Drosophila melanogaster: one gene and its partners. The protein of the gene in region 1 purifies or fractionates together with the protein of each later gene. This does not show direct contact. Each region holds a gene or a part of one and is shown in the gene's direction. Other genes may lie near its edges.

Evidence for each region.
Region 2: the proteins of cid (region 1) and Hat1 purify together in Drosophila melanogaster (affinity purification with western blotting; one study listed by BioGRID). This does not show direct contact.
Region 3: the proteins of cid (region 1) and mod purify together in Drosophila melanogaster (affinity purification with western blotting; 2 studies listed by BioGRID, with this or other methods). This does not show direct contact.
Region 4: the proteins of cid (region 1) and Mi-2 purify together in Drosophila melanogaster (affinity purification with western blotting; one study listed by BioGRID). This does not show direct contact.

What each region holds. Positions count from the first base shown.
Region 1 is NT_033778.4:13,480,775-13,487,355, forward strand, and holds cid (centromere identifier), read left to right. Parts: upstream 1-4,842; 5' UTR 4,843-4,916; coding exon 4,917-5,594; 3' UTR 5,595-5,857; downstream 5,858-6,581. Other genes in the region: arr (arrow), read right to left, coding at 1,002-1,194; cbc (crowded by cid), read right to left, coding at 3,013-3,130, 3,199-3,706, 3,797-4,349, 4,418-4,510. UniProt on the Drosophila melanogaster protein: Histone H3-like variant which exclusively replaces conventional H3 in the nucleosome core of centromeric chromatin at the inner plate of the kinetochore.
Region 2 is NT_033777.3:5,784,782-5,792,704, reverse strand, and holds Hat1 (histone acetyltransferase 1), read left to right. Parts: upstream 1-3,320; 5' UTR 3,321-3,376; intron 3,377-3,630; exon of another isoform or gene 3,631-3,760; 5' UTR 3,761-3,872; coding exon 3,873-3,939; intron 3,940-3,991; coding exon 3,992-4,493; intron 4,494-4,587; coding exon 4,588-5,236; 3' UTR 5,237-5,368; downstream 5,369-7,923. Other genes in the region: Hpf1 (histone PARylation factor 1), read right to left, coding at 1-732; Rpn5 (regulatory particle non-ATPase 5), read right to left, coding at 1,300-1,602, 1,665-1,821, 1,881-2,929; kat-60L1 (katanin p60-like 1), read right to left, coding at 5,585-5,910, 5,966-6,440, 6,638-7,275, 7,324-7,592.
Region 3 is NT_033777.3:32,049,107-32,057,558, forward strand, and holds mod (modulo), read left to right. Parts: upstream 1-2,953; 5' UTR 2,954-3,070; intron 3,071-3,213; 5' UTR 3,214-3,290; intron 3,291-3,374; 5' UTR 3,375-3,628; coding exon 3,629-3,871; intron 3,872-4,139; coding exon 4,140-4,449; intron 4,450-4,516; coding exon 4,517-5,251; intron 5,252-5,317; coding exon 5,318-5,658; 3' UTR 5,659-5,868; downstream 5,869-8,452. Other genes in the region: krz (kurtz), read right to left, coding at 1-763, 2,163-2,733; Map205 (Microtubule-associated protein 205), read right to left, coding at 8,216-8,452. UniProt on the Drosophila melanogaster protein: Its capacity to bind DNA and protein(s), and its differential expression during development suggest a role in the regulation of gene expression during Drosophila development.
Region 4 is NT_037436.4:19,905,192-19,913,417, reverse strand, and holds the start of Mi-2 (Mi-2), read left to right. Parts: upstream 1-3,202; 5' UTR 3,203-3,338; coding exon 3,339-3,375; exon of another isoform or gene 3,376-3,784; intron 3,785-3,838; exon of another isoform or gene 3,839-4,220; intron 4,221-8,226. Other genes in the region: Mtr3, read left to right, coding at 1-827; Prp3 (precursor RNA processing 3), read right to left, coding at 1,090-1,844, 1,899-2,940. UniProt on the Drosophila melanogaster protein: ATP-dependent chromatin-remodeling factor which acts in nucleosome-remodeling by catalyzing ATP-dependent nucleosome mobilization. Involved in regulating transcription. Plays a vital role in development.

The sequences.
Region 1 (6,581 bases):
ATAATGTACAAGTTATACAAGATTTAATTGATGAGAACTGAACATTTTTCTGAGTGTATAATTTTTGAGCCTGGGTCAATGCTTTGTGCATTTTGAAATATGCCGGCAATTACCGGGCAACTTTGCCATATTACAACTGCTGAATTATTAGTGAGCTGCTTTTTTCAGCTCATTAGCGTCGCATCTAGTGGAAAAGTGTTTGGTGGGGCCGCAGAGTTGTAGTAGTCGTAGGAGTAGAAGTAGATGAAGAAGGGGGTACTAAATTATGCGCAGTGCAATCAAGTTGAGTGCGTACTACAGTCTAAATAAGTAGTAGTTGTTTATTCATAAAAGCATTGCGCCGAGAAATTGTCAGCCTTTGGGCTTTGACAACACGAAAAAGAGCTTAAAGGAAAACGCAAAGCGGCAAAGGAAGGGGCTAAAAGGCTGGGCGAGGGGCGGGGAGCGGGAAGCTCAAAAGTGCAGTTGAAACCACATAAACAAACGCATACAGTGGGCACTCGAACAGGCAACATGCCTGAAATGCAGTTCAGTTACTCATATTTTATCTATGGGATTTTAAGCTTTTAAATTCAGTGAATCATTGAAATAAGGAACTATACTATTAAGTAAATATTCTATCTGAATAGTAATTTTTGATGTACATATTGAAATTTTGCTAAATTAACTATTTAAAATGAATATTGACCAATAAATATAAATATCAAATATTGATTTGAGACTAAACACTCTCAATTTATAATTCAATCACTTGGGAATCACGCAACTACGTTGGTTCACATTAGCGAGCGATACCTGTAGTACAAAAGCCTTTGAGGAAAGTAGAGGAACGATATCAGCGAACCCCCATTCCCATTACAAACTGTCTATCCCTGCGGTTTTTTGAACTCAAAGCCCTCGCCACTCGTCAAATTAATCGAACTGCCATCAAATGCTTGTCAGTTCCCAGCTCCTTTGGCAAAACCGTTGCCCTTTGTTCGAAATGAAAGCACAGAACTTACCATTTTTGTACTGCCAACTGTTTGAGATGCCAAAGCAAATCAGTAGAAAGCCGATCAGCATTTGTCGCCAGCCCACTCCGCTGTTAGATTTCGTGCATTTCGTCGCTTTCGTTGTCACATCTTCATTATTATCTATAACTTGGCACAATTGAGGTTCGATTTCAGCAGACTTTGTGTATGGCTCGAGAGCCATCTTATTTTGGAAGCACTATCTCCGGAATTTTAAGACATTTGGCGCAAAAACAACAGATGACGCGACCCGATCGTGTTTGTCTTTTGTTAGGCGCACATGGTAATCACACGGAAAAACTGCAAGTGGAAGGGAGAGGGAGGTTTGAAAACAGGTCGCTCTCGAAAATCTTTCACTCCCTAGGGTATCAAATAACACCCTTGTTTTGAACTCTCGTTTGTAGTTACAACAGTATTTGCAGAGTTATGCCTGTTAGTAAATAGGTTTTAGGATTTTTGTTTTACTTTCTACGTATCTTTTTTAATAGATTAATATTGGTTCAACTGTTATGACTACAATACAATTCAAATTTATTTCAGTTTTGATCACTAGTGAGTTAATAACTTTTAGTTCCTCGTGCTCGCACTTTTGTTGCGTAGTGTAAGCTAGCTGTTGCTTATGTTGTTGTTATTTCAGTCTTTCAATTGAGTTTCCCGCTTCTTTGTTGACGAGTGTGATCGTCTTGTTTGCATGTGTGCGAGCCACCAATTGTTGTTGTCGTTAAGTAGCGAGTGATAAGCAATTGTGCAACTGTGTGAGGGCCACCACACCGCCATCACCCCCTCCGATCAACTGGTCGCCAAATTGAAATACTGTAAGTGATAAGGTGACTCTGGGTAATTAGGGAACCTCTTTTGCCGCCGCTTCTACGGCGCAACAAGCCGGCAATCGACGAATTGCGGTGCGTGCGCGTGTGTGTGCAACCCCCAGAAAGGCGCAGCGCTGCACTTTCCAGTGGAAAATTTCACGACGCAACCAAAACAAACGCCGTTTGCCGCTGGAAAATGCAGCAGCAACAGAGAGCAAGTGAGAAGAAAACACACAAACACACGCGCACACATGCACAGACGCACACACACACTGGGGGAAAACAGAACGTCTTTCAAGCAGGCCGTAAATTTAGATGCCCGAAAATCTCTTGTTTTGTTTTTAGAACCATTTGATACACATTCCAACAACAACATCAGCAACATCTCGCATGCTGCACAACAAACACGAAAAGCACGACAAATTCCACAGTATCTATGGTTTATGCCCGTTGAAAGTGTATTAATCGTCGCCGTTTCATCGCTATTTGTTGTTAAACCAACGCAATTCGACCGAGCGCAGCCATTTTGTGGTTACTTTGTTTTGTAAATATTTGATTTACTTTTCACTGAGTTTTCCGTCCGCCGTGTTGCCGTGTTTTTCGTCTCGCTCTTTCGAACAGTGTGACCGCACTGAGGCGACGTACGCAGCCGTCAGTATGGCTGCACCTAATTTGCCTAAATATTACCAATTGAGTGTTCTAAATATACCAAAAATATACTGGAAGTAGAGTAGACGTTTGGTTGCACACCTTGCTAAAAAAATTTAGAACACCATTTTGTTTGAATTATTTTCGAATAGAATTACATAATTTTACCAAATGGCGAAAAATGCACATTGCAAATATATTCAAATGCAATTTTTACAAAACCCTTTTTCAGTGGTTATAAGAAACACATAATAATACATACATACACATACAATACATATACTGAATATTATATTCTTGTATAGTTATAATTAATTATAATAGTTTTCAATTTTCAGAAATTACAATATTTGTTTGATATATGTTCTATTCTTTTATAGCAAAACTTAATTAATTTTTGCAAAATGTTATTAAATGTTATTTCAGTTGTTAAACTTGTGGAAAACTTTAAGTTTACTACTTGCACATCTAAACTGTATTTTTTGTAACGCCAACATTAATATAAAATTTCTTAAATTACATCTAGAGCAGAGCATTTACAAATGCTAGGTATGATTATCCATGAACTGCAGTTCCGACCACAGGAGCAGGGCGTTCGGGGGCAAAGGTCGCGGCTGCGGCGAAAGCAACATCACTGCCTGTCTTTCCATATCCACTTCGGTTCTGAGGATAATCAAATAACAATCATATATAACTAGTATAATATCTAGTTTAGGTTCAGCAGCACTTACACGCAACAAAAGCCGGCCACATTGGTGCCAATCACATCGTCCTCCACGGACTCGGCAAAGCTGAGGGCCAGCACATGATGGATTAGGGCGGGCGTGGGTGTAACCGCCACCACCTTGGTCTTGTTGTCCTCCGCCTTCATTCCAATTGGCATGCAGGAGTCGGGCAGCGGCGGTGCGCCGATCTTGTAGAGTCGCAGGTCCTGGAACTTCACCTCGAAGCTGAACGGATAGAAGGGCGCCCTTGTATTGCCGTAGAAGTACTCCTTGATGCGCTGATCCCTCGCCTCGTGTCGCAGTTCCTTGCTGCGCTCGACGACGCCGCCGCTCTTGGGCAGCAGTACCACATGAACTCCCTTGGGAACATCTCGAAGCAGCTCGTTGTATAGTCGCTCCTGGTCCAGAACAAAGATGGCACAGGCTCCATAGGCTTTGGCCGCGTGCAACAGGTGCGCGTAGCCGGATCCCTTTACCCAGCCACAAGTGTTTATAATAATGCCAGAGCTTTTTGCTGCAAAAAGCAGATGCAGAAATTTGCAGTTTATGAACGGGAAAATGTATTGAAAAGTGCAAAGATATGTGTTACACCTTCCCAACTTACTTCGCTTGTTGCTATTCAGAGATTGCAGTGTTACCTCTGCCATTTTGGAAACCACGGCATTGTACAGCACGCTGTTTCCGCTGGGAGACTTATGGCCAAAGTGATAGACCAGCGGCGCTGTCTTGGCGAATCCCTCCTCAACGTTCGCCGGTCGCTCGATGAGAATGGTGGCCACACTCCCGGAAATGGCAATCGAGCCCTGTCCAACATCCAGGTCGGCGTACAGCGGTCGACGACCCACGCGCACAGCATAGTTAAGCAGGATGCGGCACAGAGTGCTCTTGCCCACGTCCATGGGACCGACGACCATGGCCACTGGTCCGTAGCGATCCTTCTCCTCGGCCTCCATGCGGAACTGCTCCAGTGCCGCATGACAGTTGACGTACTGCACCATTGGCGTCTCCTTGGAGATGTAGCACACGTCCATTTTGCCGGAGACGTGGAGTACACAGCCCTGGTACGTGAAGATGGCCACCTTGGCGCCCACGCCGAACTCGTACTGCTTTTTCTTCACCAGCTCCGTGCCGAACAGCTCCGCAAATCCACTGACCAGCTGAAATCAACAATTTGATTATAAATAACGAATTTATTGTAATCCAAAAAGGTTTTTGCACTACTTACGGACACCAGCACTTTGGCATCCTTCTGCTCGATTTCAAAGCGCAGCTCGGAGTCGGACTCCAGTGTGTAGTCTTTGCCTTGGTCCTCCGACATGGCTGTATCTTCAGTGCTCTGCTAATGAGTTTTAATGGCGAAATAGGGTAATTATCCAAAAATTTAGGAGGTAAACAATTTCACATCAGCTGTGCACTAACGATGGGAATTGATCGATACCTGTATAGTAGTAATTAATCGATTTCTAGGGGTATAAATGATCACTGCAAAATAAGTTAAAGTACTGGACGTCTTTAAACAATTACCATGTATTCCCATTAATATTAATTGTCACATAAATAAACATATTTTAATTCTCAACTGCTAGAAATATATTTAGTTAGTCAGTGCCCATTCAAATCGGTATCGGTACTGGGCATTATTTGCTTTGCTTTATACGGTCACACTGTTCCAAAAAAGCGGGAATTCTTTAAAAATATTTTAAGCAAATACCGAAAATTTGAAAATGCCACGACACAGCAGAGCCAAGCGCGCACCCAGGCCGTCGGCGAACAACTCAAAGTCGCCGAACGACGACGACACGGCCTTCCGCTCGCCGGAGCCAGAAGACGGCACCGACTACGGCCTCGAATTCACCACCAGCCAACTGACGCTTCAGGACAACAATCGGCGTTCCTCGACGTTGCGCAGGGACGCCGGACGGAGGCAGCCGGCAGCGAGAGACAGCTCCACCAGTGGCGAGGAGGAGGACCAGGAGAATCGCTATCCCACAACCAGATCGCCGCAGACGCGTCGAATGACCGTGCAGCAGGAAAGCAAAACGCGAGCAGCAGGGCCAGTTGCTGCGCAAAACCAGACCAGGCGGCGCAAAGCGGCCAATCCCATGAGCAGAGCCAAGAGAATGGATCGTGAGATCCGGCGACTGCAGCACCATCCCGGCACACTGATACCCAAGCTGCCGTTCTCGCGTCTAGTGCGCGAGTTCATCGTGAAGTACAGCGACGACGAGCCGCTAAGGGTCACCGAAGGCGCCCTATTGGCCATGCAGGAGTCGTGCGAGATGTACTTGACGCAGCGGCTCGCCGACTCCTACATGCTAACCAAGCATCGCAATCGCGTCACACTGGAGGTGCGCGACATGGCATTGATGGCCTACATCTGCGACCGGGGTCGGCAATTTTAGTCCAAAAGAGAAGTTTAGGCTTAGTTTAGTTATTTGTTTGAATAGTTGTGTATATCCATTGTAGTGTTTACGTAATGAAAAGTTCAAAGAGTTTGTTACATCCCCCTTTTTGTACCAATTAGAATTAGCTTTAAATAAATATTTTTGCTCGACAAGATTGTTAATTTCACTCAAATGGTTCAAAGTAATCAATTCACTCAAATAACTCGTGATTTTTATAAGAATCGGGATGAACTTCACCAAATAAATAACATGTCATTGAGATACGTATAGCATTTCGTTTTATTTCTAGTTCTTGCTGCTTGCTTCGTCTCCATTTTCATGTACAACATAAAACATAATCCATAATAGTTTAACTATAAAGTTGCCGGCCAGCGCCGTGCGAGCTACAAACATAGGGTTTCAGCTAGGATTAGGATGCATAAGATGTAGTCACGCGAAACGCACTTAAATTATGGGCCTAGTCCAAGGTAGGTAGTGCGCTTTTTGAAATGAGTCACCATTTAGAATGTCGCGGCCCATCGGACGACCTCGATGTATAGAGAACTAAGCACTTAAACGAGTAACATGAATAGATAGATAGTTTAGATACTGGCCTCAACTGAATGTGGCAACTGCGCTCGCACTTGATCTGCTGTCTTTCGTGGGATGGATCGATTGCCAATGGGTGGTTACAGGACTTAAACGTAAGTTGAGCTTTCGTCAAGCTATTTTCTGGCTGGCGGCTCTGCTTTCTTTTTGGCATTTGCACATGTGTTAATTGGGCGCAGTAAAAGTACTGCTGTCTAGATATATTACAACTTACACAATCATACAAAATATAGGTATTTATTTTCTTTAAATATTTAGCCATATAATTGATATCCGGAGACTGCAACAGTTCTGTCTCCCAGCAGCCTTAGCCACTTTGCCTTCTTTGCTACAACGACGCGTTGTAAACTATATCCTAAAATGTAGGAGCCACATCTTGCTTCGCCCTTTCGCTAA
Region 2 (7,923 bases), on another chromosome or scaffold:
GCGGGCTATTAAGAGATTTTCCTTGTCCTGCGGCACATCGCGCCAGTAACCGTAGTGAATCCCAGTGCCTCGGCGCACGAAGATCGTCTGAAATTCTGGTGGATCGTAGTAAAAACGCCAGTGGCGCAGGTAGTCTCCCGGTTCGCCTAGTTTGGCGCCGTGAAATTTACCGGCTAGGAACTCAAAGGGACCCACCAACTGCAGTTGAAATACTTTGTCTAGGTGCTCCAAGCCAGCATCCTTGGGCTTCGCAGGATCAATTTTTAAGCTTCCCACAAACTTCCAAAATTCGTAGAAGTCCGGCGGCATTTCGACAAGGAACTTGTGTCGAATGAACTCGTTGGACTCGCAGAGATTGTCGTACTCCTTCTGCACGGACAGGCGGATGCGCTTCTCCAAGATCTCCATGTAGTTCTTTCCGGATATGTTGCTCATGGCCTCTTTGTGAAGCTCCTCGGTTTCGGCTTCATAACTGCCCTTGGCTGTATCCTTGTTCACCATCTCCGTACTTGAAGCACTCGTATTGGACTTATCCTTGTTCACCGGCTCCGTTTGTTCTTCCTTTTTCTGTTCACCAGACTGCGAGGATGCACTTCTTTTTGGCGCCACTTTTTTGCCTTCTGCGCCGTCCACTTCGTGTTCTTGTTGCTTTTTCGGATGATTGTATTTGGACAAATGTGCGGGATTCTGCTGATAGCACTTATCCCAGTATTTGCAATCTTCTTTTGGCATTCTTAAGTAACAACAATACCGATTTCAAACAAATTTGCAAAATGTGAGGTTTGCTATGGCACAATTAACAAGAATAACAAGCATCCAGTGACGCCGTTAAAAGTTGCAAGGGGATGATTCTGACCCATTTGAGAAAAATACTTTACCATGACAGCTGGGTAATAGAAAATACTACACTATATACTACAGCCCAGACATTTCCCCTTGGTGAAAAGCTAATAAACTTTTCATAAACTTGTATACTTTTATTGGACACTTAAATTCAATTTTAGTCATTTTTTTAGATCTACGCCCATGTTGACTTCCCTGGATAAGAAGAAGCACTCTGCACACACCCCCAAAAGTGTTGTAAAATACCGCCGGAAATCACCAGTGACTGGCAAAAACTGCACTGAATTGCATGGAGATTTAATGGGGGGATTCATTTAATAATTGTAGTTCATTCAATGAATACAAACTTCACGAAGAGAATCGAAATGTTGATGGTTAGGGGTTAGTACAATTACAGTTGCGTGTGGATAGGCGCTTCAAGGGGGAAACACTATTCTAAGCACCTATGGAACAGGATTAATCCTCGACAGCACACATGACGGAGTAGACGCACTCTTCCTTGTTAATCAAGTGGCAGGTCTTGTTGACCAGGGACATCAGCTGGTTGACGTCGGTGGCCCAGTTGTTCAGGATGTCGGAGGCGCTCTTTTTTTGGGTGAAGTAAATGATGCCGGCGGGACGGTCGATCTTTACGCGGATGGTGTCGGTGTTGGCCAGTTTAGAAAGATACTCCTCGCAGCGGCTGGTGGGCAGGTTCAGCAGCTCACTCATGCGCGCCAAATGCAGGCGGGAGTAATACATGGCAATGATGCGAATGTTCTATGAAATAACCAGTAGCAATTAGTTATTATTAGTATTGATTTAAATCAAAAAAAACCTACATGCTCTATCAGACGATCCTTAAGCTCGGTGATACATTTCTTGCCATGCTTGGTGCTATCCTTGAACATCTCGTTTTCAGCCAACACGAGCCCAAAGTCTGCATTAAATGTGTCGAAGTTGATCAGCTCCTTTGACATGAACAAGCGCAGAATTTCCCTTTTAAATCGAAAATAAAATAACATGCTCGAAATGTACTTCAAATCAAATGTACTTACTTATAGGCGGGCACTTCCTCCAGCTTCTTGTTCTTCGAAAGATGTGCCATCATGTCGCTCTGTTCGTTGTCGAAGGGAGCTAAAACGCAATAAAGCACGGCACAAACCAGCTTTTCCGTCAGTTCCTTCTTCTGCTCCTCGGTAAGTTCAATTTCGACCTCAGCCTCTGTAGCAACCTCTGGCTTCTTATCCTTGTCATCTTCCTCCTTCTTTTTCTTATCGTCATCCTTCTTTTTTTGCTCATCCGTGGACGCGGCAGAGTCTACGGGTGTAAGGCCAGTCTTCTTGCGCGGAGGCTCCGCTATGGCCTGATAATGGCGCGAAGTATTCAGGAAGGAGGTGTCTCTGTTCAACTGAATCATTAGATAGTAGAACTTCAGCTTCAGATCATGCTGTGCCGGATCGTCAAAGAACTTTATACTGATCTTCTTGGCAATGATCTGCGTGGATACGTAATCCTCCTTCAACAGACAAAGGCGCATCTGCTCCAGGATGAGCTCCACCTTCTCGCGCTTATCCATCGAGCCATAAGTCTCCACTTGAAGCTCCTCCATGACAGTGGCAGCTCCGGCGACATCGCCATCGGCTTCCTTAATGTCCGCCAGAATCTTAGTAAGACGGGCCCGCTCGATCTCAACGTAAATCTTGCCCTCGGTAACCGAGCGAAGTGTGTCGATAAGCTTCAGCTTAGTCTCTTTGTCGGGCGTCTTGTCCACGTACGTGACGCACTCCTGGATCATCTTGACCACAGCCTGCTTCAGCTGGGAGCGACGGCGTACCAGCAGAGACACGTACTCGTTGAGGGCGTTCCAGTTGGACGCGTCAAAGCAGATCTGACAGATGGCAACCAGGACTCGTGAGCAAGAAACCATGTCGGCGCCCAGGCGCGTCTGCTTCTCCAGTTGTAGCATCATCTCGATGGCTTCGTGAAAGGCGTCGGGGTTTTTCTTGGCCAGCTCCTTAGCCAGGGGGATTTTCTCGTTGCACGCCGGCTCGTAGTCCACCTCCATCTTGGTGATGCGGCCGCCATCAAACAAATAGGTGTCCATTGTGTTCTACAAAAAAATGTTTACTTCAATTTTTGCCGATATGACGAGGCAGTTTTCCAACCTACCTATATTTCGCCTTTACCCTGCTGCAGAATCTACTAAAACTGTTTTTCACGATAGGAAATGATAAATGTCGTCTTGCTTCAAACCTGGTTGGTTTGTCTGCTCCTTTTCTTAAAGTTATTGGATGCAAAAGCGGCTTTTTTCTAATAATAATCTCCGCACAAATTTTTGCTTACAAATGCTGTGTTAAGTTGGCTGCGGGATTTTGTAGTGTTGAAAAGGTGAATTTTGAAGTGATAGTACCAGAGCGAGATGTGTCACAGTCAAAGATATTTTTGTAGGGATAAAATTACGTTCCAAAGGGTTTTTTTTTATAATTTCAACTCAAAGTATGACTCAAAATTTGTCAGAAAAATGGAAGACTGCGAAATCAAGAAAACATCGGTAAATTGCGCATAGGGTTGTCAGAGGTTTAACAATCGAAACAACATAATTTGCGTAACTTCTGATTTAAAAACAACAATATTTTTATGGCAACAAAATGATATAATTACCTTTTTTATACAAATTCTCATTCTTTCCAACCCTGCAATCAACACATAACAGTTATATCTTCAATCGTAATCTCAGCACCAATAGTTAAACTATCGCTTAAACGACACATCTGACAGCCCAATCCGTGGCTAGTGTTGTTGGTTAGTATTCACCGTCTTGCGTTGTCCAACATTGTTGGAAAGCCAATCACTTTGTTTAGCCGCGAAAATTGCGCTAGAACGCCTGCAAAAAGCTGTCTGGTTTTATAAACAACGTGATTTTTGATTTTTAAAGCAACAAGTTAGCTGCAAACTACTTAACGGTCACAAGTAAAAAGTTCCGGAAAGATCTTCTGGTCCACCATTTGCGAAAGCGAATCGATTGCCGCCTTTTGAAGTACCCAACAATGGCACAAATCGAGAAGTACCAGGACTTTGTGATTGATGCTCTCGAAGTGGTAGACTTTAAGCTGAGTAAGTATCCTTGTTTCGTAGCGAGGTAGAACTGCAATGTTCCCGTTTTTAGTCCGTGACAAGGCCGACATCAACAATGATGCCCTGACCTTTCATCCCGCAATGGCCCACCAGATTTTCGGGGAGACCGAGACGATTTTCGGCTACCAGGACTTGCACGTCCGTGTAATGTACACGGCAGGACCTTTGCACATCTACTTGGGCGTCGATTACGGCAAACGGGTGAATGAGATCTCCGGCGGAGAGATCAAGGCAGACGACGTCGTCAGCACAATTGCTCAGAGTCTACCGGACGGCTGCTACTTCATCAATCTTGATGAGTTTCTTAAGACACTGGACAAGGCTGACAAATTTCAGCCCTTCGGTGAGAAGATAAGCGAATACAGGCGGGTATCGGACGACGGCAGCGAGCGCCTTTTCGAGATCTACCAGTGCGAGTACAAGAGCTCATCATTCTTAAAGTTCTTTGCCCGGCTGCAGACGTTCATCTTGTGGTTCGTGGATGCTGCCTCCTACATCGACACTGATGATCCACAGTGGTGTTACTTCTTGAGGTAAGTTTTCTACAAGAAGATTGGCTTATTTTGTTATCAAAATCAGTAGCTGGTTTCAATAACAACGTCCTCTTCTCATTCTGCATTCCTTTAGCTACGAAAAGTACAAGAACAACGATGGCCAGTGGCAGTATGCCACAGCTGGTTACACCACCGTATACGAGTACTACGCCTATCCGCAAAACAAGAGGCCCAGGATAAGCCAGATGCTGATACTGCCGCCTTTCCAGAAACTCGGCTTGGCTACCCAATTGGTCGAGAGCATTTACAGGTTTTATCAGTCACAGAAGAATGTTGTGGACATAACAGTGGAGGATCCATCTGAGGATTTCCAGCGTTTGAGGAATTTTGTGGACGCGCGATCTTGCATGAAATTGAAGTCGTTTGCACCAGGCGAGATAGTCAAGGGCTTCAACAAGGAGATGGTGCGGGAAGCTCGCGAGGCTCTGAAACTCAATCCCCTCCAGGTGCGTAAGGTGTACGAGCTTTTGCGTTTATTCTACACCAATGTGAAGGATGAAAAGGAGTACCGACCCTATCGTCTGGAAGTTAAGAAACGGCTTAACGCGGTCTATTACAAGCAGTTAAAGGATTTGAAGAAAATGGAGCGCTTCAAGATGGACACTGAAATGCTGCGTGCTCGCCTGCCAACGGTTCAACAACGAATGGAGCAGCTGCATGAGGAATACCGCGTGGTCGAGCAGGAGTACCAGAGCACCATTGCCAAGTTGAGGGCCTCGTAGGTTCTGTGGATCCAAAAGGTGTTGATTAATTTATTTCGTTTCTCTGTTTTCAAATATGTTGATTACAAAATACATTATGTTGCTATAAGCCTACAGTAGGATTCCTTTGAATAAATATTACAAATTAAATATATATATATATATTATGTATTTATAAGATATCAGATTACCGTGTGCACGTACATAGAGGAGCAATGCTGGGCGTGGGGCACTTGAGCAATTAAGCGTATATAAAACAAAACATTACGGCTAACGAGTACGATTTATACAGGTTACAAATAATTGTGATCGGGAAGTACACATGGGATACGATCATTATCGAGGGTGCTGGGCCAGCAGCCCGTACAACTAGCACGACCCGTATTCCTCCATCCACTTTTCGAAGCGGGCAACGTCATCGGCAGAGACGGACTTCTTGGTGCGCAGACGGGCGTCCTGGAAGTCCTGCAAAGTAATCGGCTGGTCAACCTCCTCGCGTCGGATTTGCTTAATCTGATCGGGAGTGCGTCCGGAAATGAGGCGCCGCATGGCCATCATGGAGGCGTCCCGGCACACGTTGCTTATGTCCGATCCCGAGTAGCCCTGCAGTTCGTCGCCGATTATTCCGGTGTTCAGACTGGGCGACAGGCATACGTCCTTCAGGCAGAGCTTGAGGAGAGCCGATCGGGTGCCCTCTGGAGCATAATATTACTATTATTTACTGCAGGAAAGGAAGTGGCTCGCACTTACCGTTTGGGAGAGGAATATAGATTCGCTTTTCAAAACGTCTCCGGAAAGCCTCATCGATGTCCCACGGGTGATTGGTGGCCGCCAGCACCATGATCACCTTCTCCTCCTGCATGCTTGCGTTGAGTCCGTCCATTTGGATGAGCAGCTCGGCCTTGAACCGCCGACTGGCCTCGTGCTCCGAGTCACTGCCCCTGGAGGCGCATAGGGCGTCTATCTCGTCGATGAAAATGGTGCTGGGCGCATAAAATCGGGCCATCTCGAACAGGAGACGCACCAGCTTCTCGCTCTCTCCTCGGTATTTCGAGGTCAGGGTCGAGGAGGACACGTTGAAGAAGGTGGTTCCACATTCTGTGGCCACCGCCTTGGCCAGCATGGTTTTGCCTGTTCCCGGCGGACCGACCATCAACACTCCACGCCACGGCCGGCGGATTCCCTTGAAGAACTCCGGCATGATTACCGGAAGCACCACTGCTTCCTATTTGGGTAAAAAAAAGATGTACATACATATGAAGTTAGCTACTTTTAATTTAGGTCTTCTGCACGCCTCTGAGGTGCACTTTTATATTTGTGGACCTCAATTTTAAACCTATTCTAGTCATAGATGTCACAGATATATATATTTTACTAGTATGGGTGCATATCGGAAGTTCCGATTCAGAACATAAAGCTCACCTGGAGTATTGTCTTGGCCTCATTGAGCCCAGCCACATCGGTCCACTTGATGCACGGATGGCGCTGCAGAATGTCCTTCTCCAGGGTGTCCACCAGATGAACCTCGTAGCCCAAGGGCGAGAAGTGCTTGGCCTTGGTCTTCGGTGAGCATTTGGGCGTGTTGTGGCTGGTGGCTAGGGACTGGGCGTGCGAGTTGTCTTCCAGGGATGTGGTGGCGTCTTGGTCATCCGAGTTGGAGTTTTCGTCCAGCGAGTTCTTCTTAACCGGCTTGTGCTTCAAGTTAAGCTGGGTGTTTGTGCTGAGCTTCCTGGCCCGCAGGCGCTCCACGGATCGGCTCTTCCGCAAGGCGGCGGTCATGGCGGATGCCCTTGCTGGTCGCCCCAGGCGCATTGTGCCCATGCTGGCGGCGGGTGTAGGTGCTCCTGCGCCCGCCAATCCCACGTTCCCAGCACTTCCGTGGTGGCTCTGGCTGAGGCTGCTGCTGTTCGCATTGCTGTTGATGGAGGGTAAAGTGGGCTGCAGCTCGGGATCCCGCCGACGCAGGGAGGACACCCACCGATTATCCTGCTGCTGCGACGGAAATGGCATTTGGGCCGTCTGACTGGCTCGCGGTTGTGGTGCCACTTCTGCGGCGGAAACTGCATTTTAATGATTATATAGGAAACCCCGCCACCCGGAGCACCAACCTTGCGTGGGTAGCCGCTGCTTGCTGCGCAACGGAACACTTCCGCCAATGCCCAATCCCCCAGGTGCATTAGAGCCCAGGTTGTTGACGGGCCGGTGGCGCTCTGCTGTCGAGGAGTGGCCGCCTTCCGAGCTCTTCTTCAAGCTGGCGTTCCGGGAAGGTCGACTGGTGGCCGTGATCTTCGTGAAGCCAAATGGGGATAGCGAGTCGAGGATCAGGGAGTCCATCATCCGGGCCATGTGCGACAGGCTTGTCGGAGGTGTGGAAGAGCTGGAGAAGGAAAGGGTATTCATTGATTGCTCTTACCCAGTAGAAGATCTAAATATTATAACAGGAAAGAGGAATCGATAATAGGCCTTGTCCTATAATAACATAATATGATCAATGCCATTAGTGCCAAACCCAAATATTTTCGTATTTAATTAGGTATTTTGAGATGTATCTTTAAGATGTTATTGTCAATTCTATCTTTATCTTTTGGGAGAAAGTTTTGGGAAACTATACTATACGAATCTAATGAAGCCACTTAAGGATTCCCAAACTATCTCATTACAACTCCTTATCTGTAAAAAACATAACATATAACTGATAAGGATATAAT
Region 3 (8,452 bases), on another chromosome or scaffold:
TCGTCCAGCTGAATGAGATTTGTTGTCGTTGGCACATCCTGCCCGCCAGTAGCCGATTCAGTTTCTCCGTCACTCATGCTCACTAACGGCAGACCCCCGCCTGCTAAACTAGCCCGTGGCGATCGCTCCCCTAACAGTGGATGCTCTTCCTCCTCGGGCTTAGGGTGCATTAGTGTGAATGGCAGCTCAGCTACGAGGTCACCATTTAGAAGTGGCGAGCTAATCAGCAACTTCACCTTCACCTTATAGTGGACCATAATACCGAGACTCTCACGCTGAGCAGGATTGGTAATGAGAGTGCTAGACGCCAAATTGGTGTCCTCATGCTTTAGCTGCCCGTCCAAAGCAAGGCCCCATTTATCCTTATTATTTGCCAATAGGGGGCACAACTCAAATACCTTCGAGAGTGTAAATCCCGGAGCCACTTGACATCCGTCTTCTGACTCGATTTCTGCCACTACAGATTTATATTGCGCCGTCGAAAAGAGACAAATATCCGCAAACTGCCGGACACATACCTTAATCTTTTTTACCGTCCGATTTGAGTTGTTGGCCACATGAACGTTGACCGATATTTTTTCGCCGTGGTGGTATAACTCCTTGTCCAAAGTAGCTTCCAAATGGATCTTGTTTGGCTTCATCATAAACTCCTTGCTTACTTCGATCGATGGCTGCTCACCGACTTTGGATGGTGCGTACATGACTTTGCGAATAGTTAGTCGCACCGAGTTCCGCTTGTGGGGTTTGTCCTCCACGTTCTCACCTATTAGTGATAAACATTATGAATAATGGCATCAATGTATGTATGTTTGTTGAAGAAAACCCATGACGCTCGGGTGTGTCAGTAGTCCGATTCGTTACAAAATTTGTCGTTGATGTTGAGTCTATCATGTATAGAATTCCACGATGTTTAATCACAAGCCGACAATTACTGGCATTTACATATGGATATATATATATATATATATATATATATATATTATTCATATATATGCATATACATTCATTTAATTGATCATCAATAGCATTGCTTTAAAAATACGCATAAATATATATAATTGGTTATCCCAAAAACATAAAAGCTAGGAACATTAGATACACAATTGAACAGACGCAAAGTAAATAAAAATGCTGACTCAATTGTCATGAGGGGAAGCAGAGAAGCACTGAGAAATCGTTTCTTCCAACTGTACAAATTCCAACATTGTTGTTTTTATTCTTAAATTGAATTTGGGCTTATATACAGAAAAAATAAATATTAAGTTCTTGTTATAAACTCTTTTACCCAACAACACGCCAATTGCTGCTATTTTATTAATCTCTGTTTATAACAGTAAACAATTTGGCTGCTGAATAATAATAAAATTCCAACAGAAACTATAAAAGCACAAAAATGTGTAAACAAAATAGGGCAATAGGTAATAATATTTATTGAACAGAGAATGTATTAAGGGGGTGCCACGGGCACATAATATATATGCGAGTGGAGCTCGGCGATCGTACGAAAATATGAAAAATTTAAAATTTACAGAAACCAAAAACCTTTCTACTAATAAAATAAAGCACAAATTCTTTAAACCTTTTTTTAATTATTAAATACAGATTAGAAACTAAACAAATAAACATTTTGAAACTATGTAAGATCTTTGCTGTTGGCACACAAATCGTCAGACCGCCAACTGCGGCGCCTGGTTAAGGCGAACAACAGCATTAACTGCGCTGCAACTTCGGTTGATTCAAATTCCAATTAGAAGTGTCGAATTTCAATTAGGTGAACGCTGCGTCATCAGCCCGACGTAGTTGGATTGATTAACCCTGTGTTCCCAACCGCGTGATGCACGCGCTAACTTACACAAAACCACACATATAAGAAATTTACAGTCTAACTTCTATAGAAAAGAACAAAGCTAGTTTTGCTACTGTAACCATATTCTTAATAAATTATTTTATTCTCAGAAACAATAGTACCCGCAATTTAACTGCTCTAAGGTAAAAGAAAAATTTGTAAAGAAAAAAGAAAAATTTGTAAATTTGTAAATTTAATGTATTGCAACATATATAATAAACACGGTATGTGCCACACTGCGAAATATCAATGATTTTGACTTTGACTGACCACCGTATACGGACACACCCACAAGATCAGACCCACAAAGACTCACCCACAAAGGCCTTCAGCTCGTAGTCTACTCCGCAAGACTTGCCCACATCTCCAGGAGCCGGCTGCAAGGACACAGAGGCTGGGCAATAGGGCGGAACCTCAAAATAAAACGGATGGGCGTTCGGCCCCAGCTTTTTAATTAACCTTTCCTGAAGCCGGGTCATCGGGCGGTCCAGCTGCATGGGCGGATAGATCTGCTCATGCGCCAGATACAGGTCCTTACGGAACGTTAATCCCAAAACATCTAGGTCTTCACGTCCGTACCGAAAGGCGGCAAGCACCTGGCCAAAAACCTTACGGTCCTTTACGTACTCTGGATCAATGAAGACAACACCGTCAATGGGATCCACGTGCGTGACATGGTCGACGAAGTCCCGTTTGCCAAGGTAAACTGTTATCTTGCCGTTGGAGGAGCTCTTCTTAAACACCCGAGTCGCCTGGCGTCTGGAGCTGGCATCTCCACCAGTCTCGTCGCCTGCGCTTCCGCCCCCAGTGCTCCCGGCAGCTGTTACATTGGTGCTGGAGCCATTGCTCACATTTGCTCCTCCACTTCCTCCACCACCACCGTTCATTATGTTATTTGGCGGTTATGCTTGTTATTCTGCTTTTCTGCTGTTCCTGCTTAATTGGAACTCCGTTAAATAAATATATGTGTGCGTTGCGGGACTTGTGCTGCAATTTAATTTTTTATGTGTATACTTGTTCCGCCATTTACCAGCACTGCTTGACAGTCATTGGAAAAATACCAGGGAATATTACATACTAACAAATTATGTACTTCTCTGGTATTTCAATTCAGTGCGAACAAACCGATATATGTTTGGTCGTACCATAATCGCAGCCTATAATTAATATTTATTTTGCATTTTTGGCACCTATTTATATTTCCTAAGTGTGCCCTGGCCCATAGTAAGTGACTTTTAATAATTTTTCTTTCAATACCATTAACAATTGCTTGAATTAACATTAAGTTTCCTACTAAGATAAAATGCAACTGCAGGTTGACTTGGCTTTTTAATGAAATATAATATATATATTATAAATTCCTTTAGAAACAGATGATTCATAGCTGATGATTGAGGAAACTTACCATTTGGAATGTATAAACACATGTAAAATCAGACCGTTGGTAAATATCTAATCATAGATTGTATCCTAAGTCTTAAATAAATACTTTATATAAACTGTTTAATATTTATTTTATTTTTTAAAGGCTTTTATTATTTTTATATGTATACATGTGCATGAACGGACTTTAAACCATATTTAGTAGTGGAATAGAGCTATAAAAATGAGATTGAAGTCTCTAAAATACTTTATTTAATCAGCCTTAGCACCGATAGAGCACAACGGTCACACTGTTCTGTCCCTCTTTTCCACGTGCATTTTATTGAACGAAACCACGCGTTGTTCAGTCCAAACTTGACTTTGCTAATTTTGCCCAGAAAACCTCTAAAAGCTGTCAAAATGGCCCAAAAGAAAGCCGTCACCGTCAAAGGAAAAAAAGCTACGAATGGAGAGGAAAAGCCTTTGGCCAAACGGGTAACCAAGTCCACAAAGGTACAGGAAGAGGAGACAGTAGTCCCCCAATCGCCTTCCAAAAAATCCAGAAAACAGCCTGTTAAAGAAGTGCCGCAGTTCAGTGAAGAGGACGAGTCTGATGTGGAGGAGCAAAATGACGAGCAGCCAGGGGACGACAGCGACTTTGAGGTAAGCTATAAAAAAAACGTGGTCTTCTGAATGGATATGGCTAACATTACATGCATAGTATGCACGTATATATAGATCTGCATGGATAAGAATCCATTTTACGTTTTCTTTGCCACGTGGTTGTAAAGATTTTATAATTATAAGACGAGTGCACATAACCCACGATCCTCTGGTTTTATACCGACTCGGTTCATATATCGATAAAAAAAAAATTGTCTTTATTGGTGCTCTCCCATCAGCGGTTATAAGAAAATTGTCTACTTTTCAGACCGAAGAGGCAGCGGGCTTAATTGACGACGAGGCTGAGGAAGATGAAGAGTACAATAGTGACGATGAGGAAGATGATGATGACGATGAGTTGGAGCCTGGTGAGGTTTCCAAAAGTGAAGGCGCGGATGAGGTAGATGAATCCGATGATGATGAAGAAGCGCCTGTAGAGAAGCCAGTTTCCAAGAAATCAGAAAAAGCCAACTCTGAAAAGTCCGAAGAAAATAGAGGAATTCCAAAAGTAAAGGTTGGCAAGATTCCGCTGGGAACGCCAAAAAACCAGATCGTTTTTGTCACAAACCTACCAAACGGTAAAGTAACTGGTTTATTATTTCATTTTTCAAGTATATTTAAACTTAGTATATTTGTTCCACATAGAGTATCTCCACAAGGACTTGGTCGCATTGTTCGCCAAGTTCGGACGACTTTCCGCTTTGCAGCGTTTCACTAATTTGAATGGCAATAAATCAGTTCTCATTGCCTTTGATACGTCAACTGGAGCAGAAGCTGTTCTGCAGGCTAAGCCTAAAGCGTTAACCCTTGGAGACAATGTTTTGTCTGTGTCCCAACCGAGAAATAAGGAAGAGAACAACGAACGCACGGTGGTGGTTGGCCTGATTGGACCTAATATTACCAAGGACGACTTAAAAACCTTTTTTGAGAAGGTAGCTCCCGTGGAGGCGGTGACTATATCCAGTAACCGCCTCATGCCCAGAGCTTTTGTACGTTTGGCGTCGGTCGATGACATACCGAAGGCTCTTAAACTGCATAGCACTGAGCTGTTTTCTCGCTTTATAACGGTTCGTCGGATCTCACAAGAATCGATTTCACGTACCAGTGAACTTACCTTGGTTGTCGAAAATGTGGGCAAACACGAGTCTTACAGCTCCGACGCTCTAGAAAAGATATTCAAAAAATTTGGTGATGTTGAAGAAATCGACGTTGTGTGCAGCAAGGCAGTTTTAGCTTTTGTCACGTTCAAGCAGTCGGATGCCGCCACGAAGGCTTTAGCACAACTCGACGGAAAGACTGTTAATAAGTTTGAGTGGAAGCTTCACCGATTCGAACGCAGCACCTCGGGGAGGGCCATTCTTGTGACGAACTTGACTTCAGGTGGGTTACCCGTTTCGTAAAATTGTTTAAAATTATTAATCATTATCATGTAAAATTTCGTTGTAGATGCTACTGAAGCCGACCTGCGGAAAGTGTTTAACGATAGCGGCGAAATCGAAAGCATCATAATGTTGGGCCAAAAAGCGGTAGTAAAGTTCAAGGACGATGAGGGTTTCTGCAAATCTTTCTTGGCTAATGAAAGCATTGTAAACAACGCCCCTATATTTATTGAGCCAAACTCTCTGCTGAAGCATAGATTGTTAAAGAAACGCTTAGCTATTGGTCAGACCCGCGCCCCGCGGAAGTTCCAAAAGGACACTAAGCCAAACTTTGGTAAAAAACCATTTAACAAGCGCCCGGCACAAGAGAATGGTGGTAAATCGTTTGTTAAAAGGGCAAGATTTTAGAACTTGAACACTACAAGAATTAGCTTTAAGTTGCGTAGTACCATAAATACGGCCACAGCCCCGATAATTCCATACAACTTGATGTTATGGATTTAGTTGATAAGAGATACTCCATTAAATTTTTACCGGAGAAATGCTAGCCGTATTCAAGCAGATGTCGATTTTTATAAGCATCGGACATGGAACTAAATAAAAGTAAATAAAAACCCCGATAAGAATTTTGTATTCAACGTCTTGGTTTTGGGTAACTAGATACTTCAAAAAACGATTTACTGCTTATATGAACGTATACAGGTGCGATCTCCAGTATATTCCGTTTTTTTTTTTGTGTTTGAATTTTATCTCGCTTCGGTACTCTCGTATATAGGTTCCTATCCCTTCCAAATGGCCCAATGTACAGCTGCGCTTGTTCAAAAAGCGAGAACTATATGAATTTCCTTTGTATAATTAATTTATTAGTAATACATTTTTGTAGTATTTTATAATTTTTTGAATTTTTTTGTTCATACTCAGAAATCTAATATGGTTGGCTAACATATGTATAAACTTGTAAATGTTTGTATGTATGTTTATATTTTTTGTAAATGCCATTTAGATTAGTACTTTAAATTTCAGTAATTGTTGGTTCAAAAAATTAGTTTATCCTTTTTATGTGTAAATATGTATAAAAAATCATCACTTGGATAAAAGCAACGTATAGGGAGTTTAGCCAACCTAAAAAAAACCCTTTCGATTAGGAATTTCCCAATCACTCTGTTTATATATAGTTCGTTCAAGCTACAAAAAACTGTGCTCGTGACGCGTTTGGCTTACTGACAAGTTTTTGTGTGTTATATGTAAGTCTCTGTCTCATGTTGCTTTTGACCTTGTTTTATAAGAAATATAATATCGCTATCGTAATATAGCTTAGGCAGAAAATCACTAATAAGGCAAATTAAAGTGAAGGGCACTGTGTGGGACTTCTGAAAATACATAATGCAAACAAGCTTACTATTTAAACTTGACAACTTATATATCTCAGAGTTCGTTTAAGCCGTGCATAACTCATATACGTTGTATAGGCAAATTATAAGCCCTAGAATATTACTTTTTTTAGATATACTTTCACGAGAGCTTTTTCTTTCATGACGAATTGAAGTAGGTGACACTATCTTTCACAAAGCTTATAAAATTATGCCTACACAAAGGATAAAAGAATACAAAAATAAAACAACTGAAAGATTTTTAAAATATTTCTTGTTATTTTTATATAATTGTAGTATTGTATTAAACAGACAAATAAAGAGCGTATAAGTGTGCTGGAGATACATTCAGTTTTTTGATCCATGTGGCATAAACAACAAATTATAAATAATAATACATTTTTAACTGAGTCACAAAAAAATATAAGTCAAACGAAATAAAATATGAAATGGAAAACGTTTTAAAATTATAAGAAAACACTGGGTAAAAGCTTTTCCTCGTTTAATATTAGTACTGAACATGTTTATAGTGCTGCTCAATTTCCACATTATTAAATTTATAAATCCATTGAAATATAATATGTTTACAGATTTGTTAAATAATAAAATAAAGGTGCTTGGTAGTACAATAAAACCACATAAAATTCGGCCAATGTATAGACATTTTTTTGAAGAAGCAGTCTACAAGTTTCGCTGGTTAAATAACCTTGGTTTTCGTTGGATTAGTTTTAATTCGTTTTGGTTTTCGGTATATTCACCTTAAGACGCCGATAGCTTAACTTGAATTTTCATTTCTTTCTTTTTCTTGCTTTTATTCATGTGTTTTTGTTTTCTTTTGGCATGTGCCACAATTCCTATTCAATACATAATTCTTTTTGATAAAGGACAATTTGTAAATGTTTGACGCAATTTAATGAAATTTCGAATGTGATCAAAAAATGTATTAAAAACATTTTAAATGTAATTGTTATATTTTTAAATAACGGAGAACATGGTGACATTGATCTTTCGATTTGGTTACAAAGTAGCACAAACATTAGTTCACTATGGTATAAAGTAAAAGATTATATAAATAAGTTCAATGAGCAGAAAATCCTAATTTGGTAAGCAAGAGGATGCTACTGTATTCTTCATTTTTCTTTTAACGTTTTCGAAGTTTTCTGCTGTTAAAAGTTTAAAAGTTGTACGAAATTTAATTTAAGAATTTAAGAACGTGAGCAAAAATTTTTTTTAAAGCATTTCAAAAGTAAATATTTAATTTTTAAATAACAGAACACTTGGTGACATTTATCTTTCGTTTTCGTTACAAAATAGCACAAACATTTATTCGCTCTGCGTTCATTACAGTAGTTCATTATTTTTTGAAATAAAATGATTTAATAATATGTAGCAAGAAATCGAGGGTATAATCGTATATAAATAAGTTCAATAAGCAAAAATTCCTAATTTGGTTACCAGGATGCTATTGTATTCATCGTTTTTCTTATTACGTCTTCGAAATTTTTTTCTGTTCGTTTTAAACACTTTTTCTCAATATGTTTTCAGTATTAATAAAGTAATTTTAGGTTTGTGTGATCTGGAATTTAGGATACATATTAAAAATCCAAAAGGGGCACTTCAGCATTATGGGCAGGGACATCTTGTTCGTGAAGCTTTTGCTCTTCAATAATCTTAACCTCTTCTGCTAGGCCCTTTCCCTTAAGCTTGACCACTTCTTCCGCATTGATCTGACCATTAGGTGTTGGGACACATTCATTTGATGGTGCTACCCCTTCCCCGCCCATCAAAGTAGAATTCCGAGCTTTTAATACAGCCGGCGATGACTTAGCCGT
Region 4 (8,226 bases), on another chromosome or scaffold:
TCCGCGCCGGTGTGTTGACCACAGTGAGAGGTTCCGCCTACATGGAGTATGGTAACACCAAGGTTCTGGCCATTGTGGCCCCGCCAAAGGAGCTAATCCGCGCCAGCGCACGCAGAATGAACATGGGTGTTCTGAATTGCTATGTGAATTTTGCGGCCTTCAGCACAGGGGATCTAGATTCGGTGCCGGAACGGGAACGCCACCTGAGCAGCATGCTGACCAAGGCCATGGAGCCGGTGGTGTGCCGCACGGAGTTCCTTAACTTTCAGCTGGACATACGGGTGCTTATTCTCGACGATGACGGCTGCCTGCTCAGCACTGCCATCAATTGCTGCGGAGTCGCTTTGGTGGAGTGCGGCATTTCCACTTACGACTTAATTACGGCCTCCACAGCTTGTATCTATCGGGATCACGTCTTCCTGAATCCCAGTGCCAAGGTTGAGGAGCTGCTCTGGAAGCATCGCAACAGCAGCACCGATAGCACAACCAGCCCATCATCCGCCCAGGAGCACGGCCTGATCATTACCGCCAGCATGGATACCTTTGAACAGATCGCCCAGTGCCAGCAGTGCGGATATCTCAGTCCAGCCACCTATGTAAAGCTGCTGGATTACACCCTGGCCATTAACAAGTCCCTGAGAGAACTAGTCAAAGGCGTGCTCACGAAGCGGGTGAAGGAGCAGCACGAACTAGATCTACGCGAGAAAGCCGAGACCGCTCTAGAAGATCAGCGTTTGGAGGAAATAATCGAGAAGCTAAAGAAGCAAGGACCAGAGGAGTTTATACAATCGAACATCCGGGAGGATCCCTATGTAAAGAGGCAGTAGTTGGTTGAGAATAAATCATACTAATATAAATCCCAGATCTATTTGAACAACAACCACCACTTAAAAAATGATTACTACAAATATTTAGAGTCCAGATAAAACTTTTATTCGTTATTTTTGCACTTCCAAAGTTCCGAATAGCTTCGAAAATAATAACATCAAATGCGTAGCGCGCTTCAAAACTTTAATTCAGACTTGTATCTTTCCGAAAGTGAATTTGTAGAACTGTAGTGTATCTAGCAATTCTTAAAATGCCTTTTATCTACTGCTGATCCGTGGAGGCCTCAAGCACGGCTCCGGAGTAGGCCAGATCCCAGTAGTGTTCGACCTGGTGCTTCTGAAAAAACTCACGGGCCATTTTTTCCATTGGAAAGATCTTAAACTTGATCTCGCCAAAGTGCCGTCGCTGACTAGTCCCCTCCCAGACGAGTACGCATGAGTTCGGCACGTCCTGGCCGTCATTGCCCTTGGCGTTGTCCTCCTCCCACTTAATGCGCGTTAGCATGAGCCTGCGATACTTTTTCTGCTGCTTGGGCCCACCCTCCACGACAACCACACAGCAATCCCGGAACAACACCACGCTGCCGGTCATCTGCAGCTGCTTGGCATTGGTCTCCACCTTGAATTTCTTGCTCTGGTTGTCCTGCAGATCTCGTATGCGATAGACGCTGACATGTACACCGCAGCTGGTGTCTTCCCTCAGCTTGCGCTGCTTCTTTTCGCTCTTCTGCTCGCTGGTCAGCTTGCGCGCATTGTTGGCATCTTCGTGCGCCTTCTGCCGCTTGGCCATCTGGTCGCGCACATGCTGCTCCATTTTGGTCGGATCTTGTACGGCCTCCGAGCCAAGCACACGCATCAGGTTGGATATGCGCAGTTTCGGCTCTGGTGGGGCCACCAAACCCAGTCGGATCTTCTCCTGCTCCTCCTTCCAGGCCTCGCGACGGTTCTGGCGACGAAGCTTTTTGCGCTCTTTCTTTGTGAGGAAAACCGGCAGATACACTGGTTTCAAGGGCTCATCTGAAGGAGTAGGTGGTTAGTTGCTTGTGGGACATGTTCTAGCTTTCAACTTACTTGGCGGCTTCATTTGTGTGGGATGCTCTATAAGGTTGGTTATGGCTGTTTGGCGTATGCTTATCTTACCGCTTGCGTCGTCTACCGTCTCCAGATCCTGGGTCAGTATAACTGAGTCCCACCACTCCATGGCAGGCACATCGTCCGGCATGTCCTGCTTGGGGGCAATCAATGCCAGTTTGGTGGCCGACGAGATGCCCGTTTTCCGGGCTATTTGCGAAATCTCATTCTGTAGTCGCTCCAGCTGGCTTTTCATGCGCATTCGTTCGGCCAGCTGCTGGAACTTTCCGGGCTCGTGGAATCTCAACGTCCTCTTGGTTCTAACAGTGGGCTTCAGGGCTATGCGGTCGTCAAAGTACTTAATAGCTTCTTCCTGGGCCGAAGTGCCCGATTCACTCCGTTCACCCAAACCCGTTTGGCGTTGGAACACCTCCCGTTTCTTGGCGCGTATGTTGGCTTTCAATGTAGGTGTCACCGTGGGAATATTAATGGTACGTCCGCTCTTGTCCACAGTGCGTCCTTCATCGTCCAGAATCAGGGGTTTGGGTCGCTCCTGCGCTTGAGCAGCAGCTGCAGCGGCGGCCGCTACCGCAGTGGGCTGAATCAAACTAGCCAAATTGCCAGTAAGCTTGGCCCTGATCTGTGCCTGCAACTCGGCAATCTTCCTGGCCTTCTCCGAGTCCTCGGGCGTGGGCTTCTTCGCCAGCGCTTGAGTGGCTAAGGCAACTGGCATTCCGATCGATGGAACTGACGCCAGCAGCGGATCCTTGTCTCTTAGATTACTCAGGGCCCGCTTGCGTTCCTCGATCTCCCGCTGGGCATGGGCCATCATCAGCTTGATCTGCGTGGAACTCAGCGAGGCGGGCACGGCGACCTCTTCTTTCTTCTCACCACCGCCGCCATTCTTTTCCGGGACATCGAAGCGGGATTTCTTGGGCGCTTCAAGGGCGCTTCCACCACCACTTTTGGAATCTGAGGCGGCAGCGCGCTTTTTGGACAATTTCTGGTCGTCGCCATCCTTGCGCGTGATAATGGACGACATAATTCGCAATTAAATGGGTCGGACTAAAAAGTAAATGTTATTTACCAACTGCTTGGCACATTCCTTGAGCTTAAATCAGCGATTTGCAATTCAAAAACAATACACAAGGTTTTTGGTCTTTGGTGAAAAATTCTCCGAAACACGTTAGGACAGGGTCGTTAAAAAAACATAAAAGTCAGGGTTGTCATGTCGCCAGTGTGACCGTTTCGCTTTCTTTTATCGGGGTGCAACCCTAGTTCTCTCACTTTTTGTCGCTCTCCGCTCCGCCATATTTGTTGAAGCCGCTTACAATTGACTATTTTTTTCTCGTCGTGTCTGTGTGTGCTTAATTATTTGTTGTGGAAATTAAGACAATTTCGTGTGCTCAAACAGTGTAAAAGTTGCATTCGAGTGCTACAATGGCATCGGAGGAAGAGAATGACGATAATTTCCAGGGTAAGTGCATTGTTTCAGTCGGCCAAATGTCGGCGTGAAAAAAACTCGGTCCGACCGTCGCTCGGTCAGGCTAAGAACCGTGGTCATGTTCAAGAGCCGCAAAGCCGCGCAGCGTGCTGCGTCCCCCTCCCATTGTTTATTGTTGCCTATTATCCTAATTGGTCATTGTCATTGCTGTACCTCGTTATAAACTATTTGTATTACAGCAATTGGTGAAATTTGTACATGTGTGGCGCGTTTTTTTGGGGTCTTTTGCGCCTCCTCCATTCCACACATATTTTTTATTGCATTTTTGTGTTCCCTCCATTCGCGAATGCAGGCAATATATAGACGTCCTGCTCACTCATCAAAACATATGTTTTACATGGTTGTTTTGGTCGAAAGTTTTGAGTGGAATACTCTGTAAATCCTTTAAAATTAAGTTTTATCTTAAGTTCTTTAGCAATTAAGATGTTTACTTTACCTGTGAATTGTCAAGTGTCAATTGTAATATACGGAAAATTCATTTTAGTTCACACTTATTGTGGTGTTACCGTATATGCAGTGTTATCATCGGCTGTGCAATGGTATCACCAGAAAAATAGTGTGCCCCTTTTGGAGCTAGTCGAGAATGCCCAGACGGCCTCATCTGCCACCATTTACATTCATTGTTGCTTGGACGTGGCAGCCATGACGTGATTTCTGAGTTTTTGTTAAAGAGATTACATTATTAATTGTAGAGAAAACTGTTAATTAAGGGGAATACGTGCATTACTCGCCACCGCCTACCGATTGCCAGTGTAAAGCCACAAATCCAGTGCGTAATATATCCAACTGAAGGAAAAGCGAAAAAAGAATGATGAAAAGTGTGTGCAAAAAATAAAAACCTGAAATTACCACAAAATATGCATATATATATTATAAATTGTGTAAGAAAGCAATGCAAAAAGAAAACGAAGCAATATGTGCATATATCTAAAGAAACGAAACAAAGATGCGTGGAATATTGTGGAAAATCTTGTCGCACTTCCACTGACGCACATACATATGTGATTTTTTCCACTCCCCCTTCGCCGACGTGCTCTCTTGATTGATTTCTCCACTCTCTCGCGTACTTGCGTCTCTGTGTGTGTGCGTGTTATGCACGCGCGCTCCAGCCAAACGTCGCCGTCGCCCCGTCTCTGTCGCTCCAACGTATATGATAAAAAAAAACTCACAGAAACCCGACGCGTTTAAATTAAATTTAGTTAAAAACAACAACAAAAATATAGCTACCAATGCAATCCTACCGAAGTGCCTGCAAAACAACTAAAGTATAGTCTTTTTAACGAGTTAATCAAAATATGCCAACACACAAGTAAGATGAAGAAGGAGAAAAGTAGAGTGTGGAAAAGAGACGATGCCAAGGGATGGGATGGGAAGGTGCCCGTCTCGCGAGGAAATTGCTGGAATGTAGTAGTAGTTCATAGGAAAACTGATAAACAATATGCCGCCGCTGTGTAACAAAAAGCAGCAGTATCCATAGCCACCCCAATTTTGCATACAATTTATGTTAATTCGTTCGCAGCTGTTCCTCTTCTGTCTACAGGCCTCTTCTCTCTTCTGTCCCTGCCCTCATTCGCCTCTCTTCTGCTTCTCCGTTCGACGCTGTTGCACTGTGGGCGTGTGTATGTATATGTATACGGTGTGCGTGCGTGAGGAAGTTATCCTAGAGAAATAGCGTGGGAGTAGAATTCAATGTCTAATTTTAACACGTTCCCCTCCCCGTCCTTCGGTGCTCATTCTAATTGGATTCGCTGCCGTTATCCTTCGATACATCGATAGGAGGATGCTTAATTCGCTCTGTCTTTTCCCTCACGTTTGTGACGTCAGCCAACGTTGGTTCTTCCCCATTTTTCTTCTTCCTAATTTCACCATTTGCCGGTTCTGTGATAATTTTTATGATTTGCTGCGCTATGCTGTCTTTAAAATTGTTTACTTTAACATTGCCATCCGATTTCCGATTACTCTACCACAAGTAAACAATCAAGAGTAATGCGACATCGCATAAATTACAAAAGGCTAAAACGATGCACATGTATGAGTGCCACTATTTATGCAGTAATGCAACAATAAAAGGGTGTGAGAGGGATAAGAAGGTTTCGGCAATGACGTATGCATTTTTCCTACGTACACAGCAAGAAATACGCAATGGCATTTGACACCGTTTCAATGTTTCATGCAATTAAAGCACATATCGATCAAATGTATTAATAATAATGACATTCATTACCGCAACTTTGTATCTTCAAAAGATCCAAATAATTTGATTTTTTCGTTGTTAATCTGAGCATTCTTGTCATTTTTTTATCAAAAGCTTCGCTGTTGCCGACTGCATAAATCTGCTTAAAACCCCATGTCTAACAACAACAACATGGCGCCAGCACAAATAAAATCAAAAATTCAATACAAGAAGTGAAAGTATACTGTGTGTGTATGTGAGCTGCAGTTACTGGTGTATTGGTGACGATCTTACCTTGCTTTGGCGAAACACAACTTGCCATCCCGCTCGCACGCACTGCATTCAATCAAGTCAACAACAAGTGGTGCTTTTTTATATCCGCCATGTATATACATATACATATCTTTATAAATATATATGCTTGTATAATTGGTAAATGGTATGTGTGTGCTGGCATTTCGAAAAAGTTTACTTGCGCTTAAAGTCCACAAAACTATGAAACATAAATAGGAAAAGTAAATATTATTTTAGCTTTCAAATACGTTCATTTTTATTCAAAAAACGCTCTCTCAAGTAGAACAACACTAGGTCGCTTCGATAATGGTTTTTGTTGTTCTTCTTGATTTTGACATTTGACGCGCATCGTTCGAGTCCGCTCTATGTGCCTTTCTCTCTTTCCAAGCGGTTTGATATGAGCGTGTGTGTCGCTCTTCCGAAGCGAAGGTGTTGTTGTTTTCGGCTGGAGTGAATACAGAGACGCACACATAAATACTCACAAAATCGGCAGCGTTTGACATTGATTACCGTAATACCTTTGGTTGGTCTGTCAGTCTGTGTGCCTTTTTAATATTTGTGCAACTGCTGGTTGTCTTGTTATTTCACCTATTTACAGTAATTGTCTTGTTGTCGCTGGGAGAGAAGGCCGCTATTTGTTTCAGATTATTCCTACGCCAATGCACACACATTACTCTCGCACACTGTCACAAAAATTCAGGCAGCAATTGATATGGTACATTTGTTGCCGTTTTTTCTTTTTTGGAAGTCACCGCCACCGCAAACGTATACACATGTACCGGATTGTGTACGGGTTCATTTATTTTTAAAGCATTCAATGTAGTATTATGGGAATGTGAAAATTAATCGAAGCTTATCACCTGTTGTACTGATCAATTTTATCTATCTTTCCGTTTCGCGTGTGTGGGAGTGTATTAGAGATGGTTTTAGGGTTGTCAAACTATTGAAAATTAATCGATTGTTACCATTCCAGTTACATTTTAAATGAAATCTCTGGACATTCTTCGAAAATTGTTTGTTTTTGACTGGCCCAATTTAAATGTGTTTATCTAAGCTCAATTACAGATGGGCATATTTGTATGTAGCAAATAGGCAATGTGTTAATGATTGTGATCACAGATCACCTTGCATACCTGTAGTCCCTCTGCAATTAAATGCTTTTTTAGCATATGAGGTGAAAGTGAAGGTCATTAATATTTGCATATGGAAATGTTTACGCAGCGAAAATGCCGAAACATAAATGGTCATATGGCAAATGCTGTTTCGTTTCGTTTCGTCGTAAAATTCGCTTGCCATCGGACGCCATTGTGGTTTCCGTTTCTGCTTCTCTCTTGCGCTCTCTATTTTCCTCTTATTCTTGTTGTGTTTCTGAAAAAAAAAAACAAGCAGAATTGTTTTTGCTGTTTTTAATAGCCTTAACTTAATTGGTTCAATAGTTTTGTAATTGTTATCGGGCTCCGTTTGCGGCCCACAGCAAAACCAAATTTGTGCTCGATTGTCACCGAATATAGGTTTATGTATGTTTTCTGGGTGTGTAAACAGACAAACAAATAAAACAATGGCACGCGAATCTATGTGTGCCATTTGCCAAAACATGCGTAATTGTGTCAGCAAATTTGTGTCGTTCCTGCTGTTTTAGCGCATTAGCGAATGTAATCGAAATCATCATTTTAATCGGCTCTCTTTGCGCTTCACTATTGTCTAATTAGCCAATTAGTCGCTCGCTAAGCCAATGCGACAGCTTGTAAGCTCGGCATTGCCAACAAGGTGCATAATTGTTGCCAACGACATTGCCAGCGCCCACTGTTTACAGTGGAGGTCACGATTTTAGCACAGAATTTCAAAACATTTCTGTGTCGATGCGTACTCGGTCGTAAAAGAGCGAACCGAAACTCAACTCTAGATAGAGAAAATGTACTTAATATCCATGTTTTTTTTTTTTTTTTTTTTTTTAAATCCTTTAAAGTATTCAATGTGTGATTCACGATTTAAAATTGTGGCGTTTTTAAGTTTTTATCCGCAAAAGGAATACAAATACCAGAGGTGTTATGACTAATTAGAGAAACCCTAAAAATATGAATCATAGGGATGCTGTGGCATGAAAATATAAGTAAACATCTACACCCACATGCAAACAAAAATAACTTAGTATAGGTCATAGAAAGAAATATCTATACCCAACAATTTTTTAATTATTTTAAAATTTGGTTTATCGAAATGTGTAGGTAGCTACCTATTAACATAGCAACTGATTAGTTTTCATTTGTGTGTTAATTATAGCGGATTTACACTCTTATATACAAATAAGCAGTTAATAAGCCTTTTGAACACACAGTATAGAACATTAGAGGTAATTT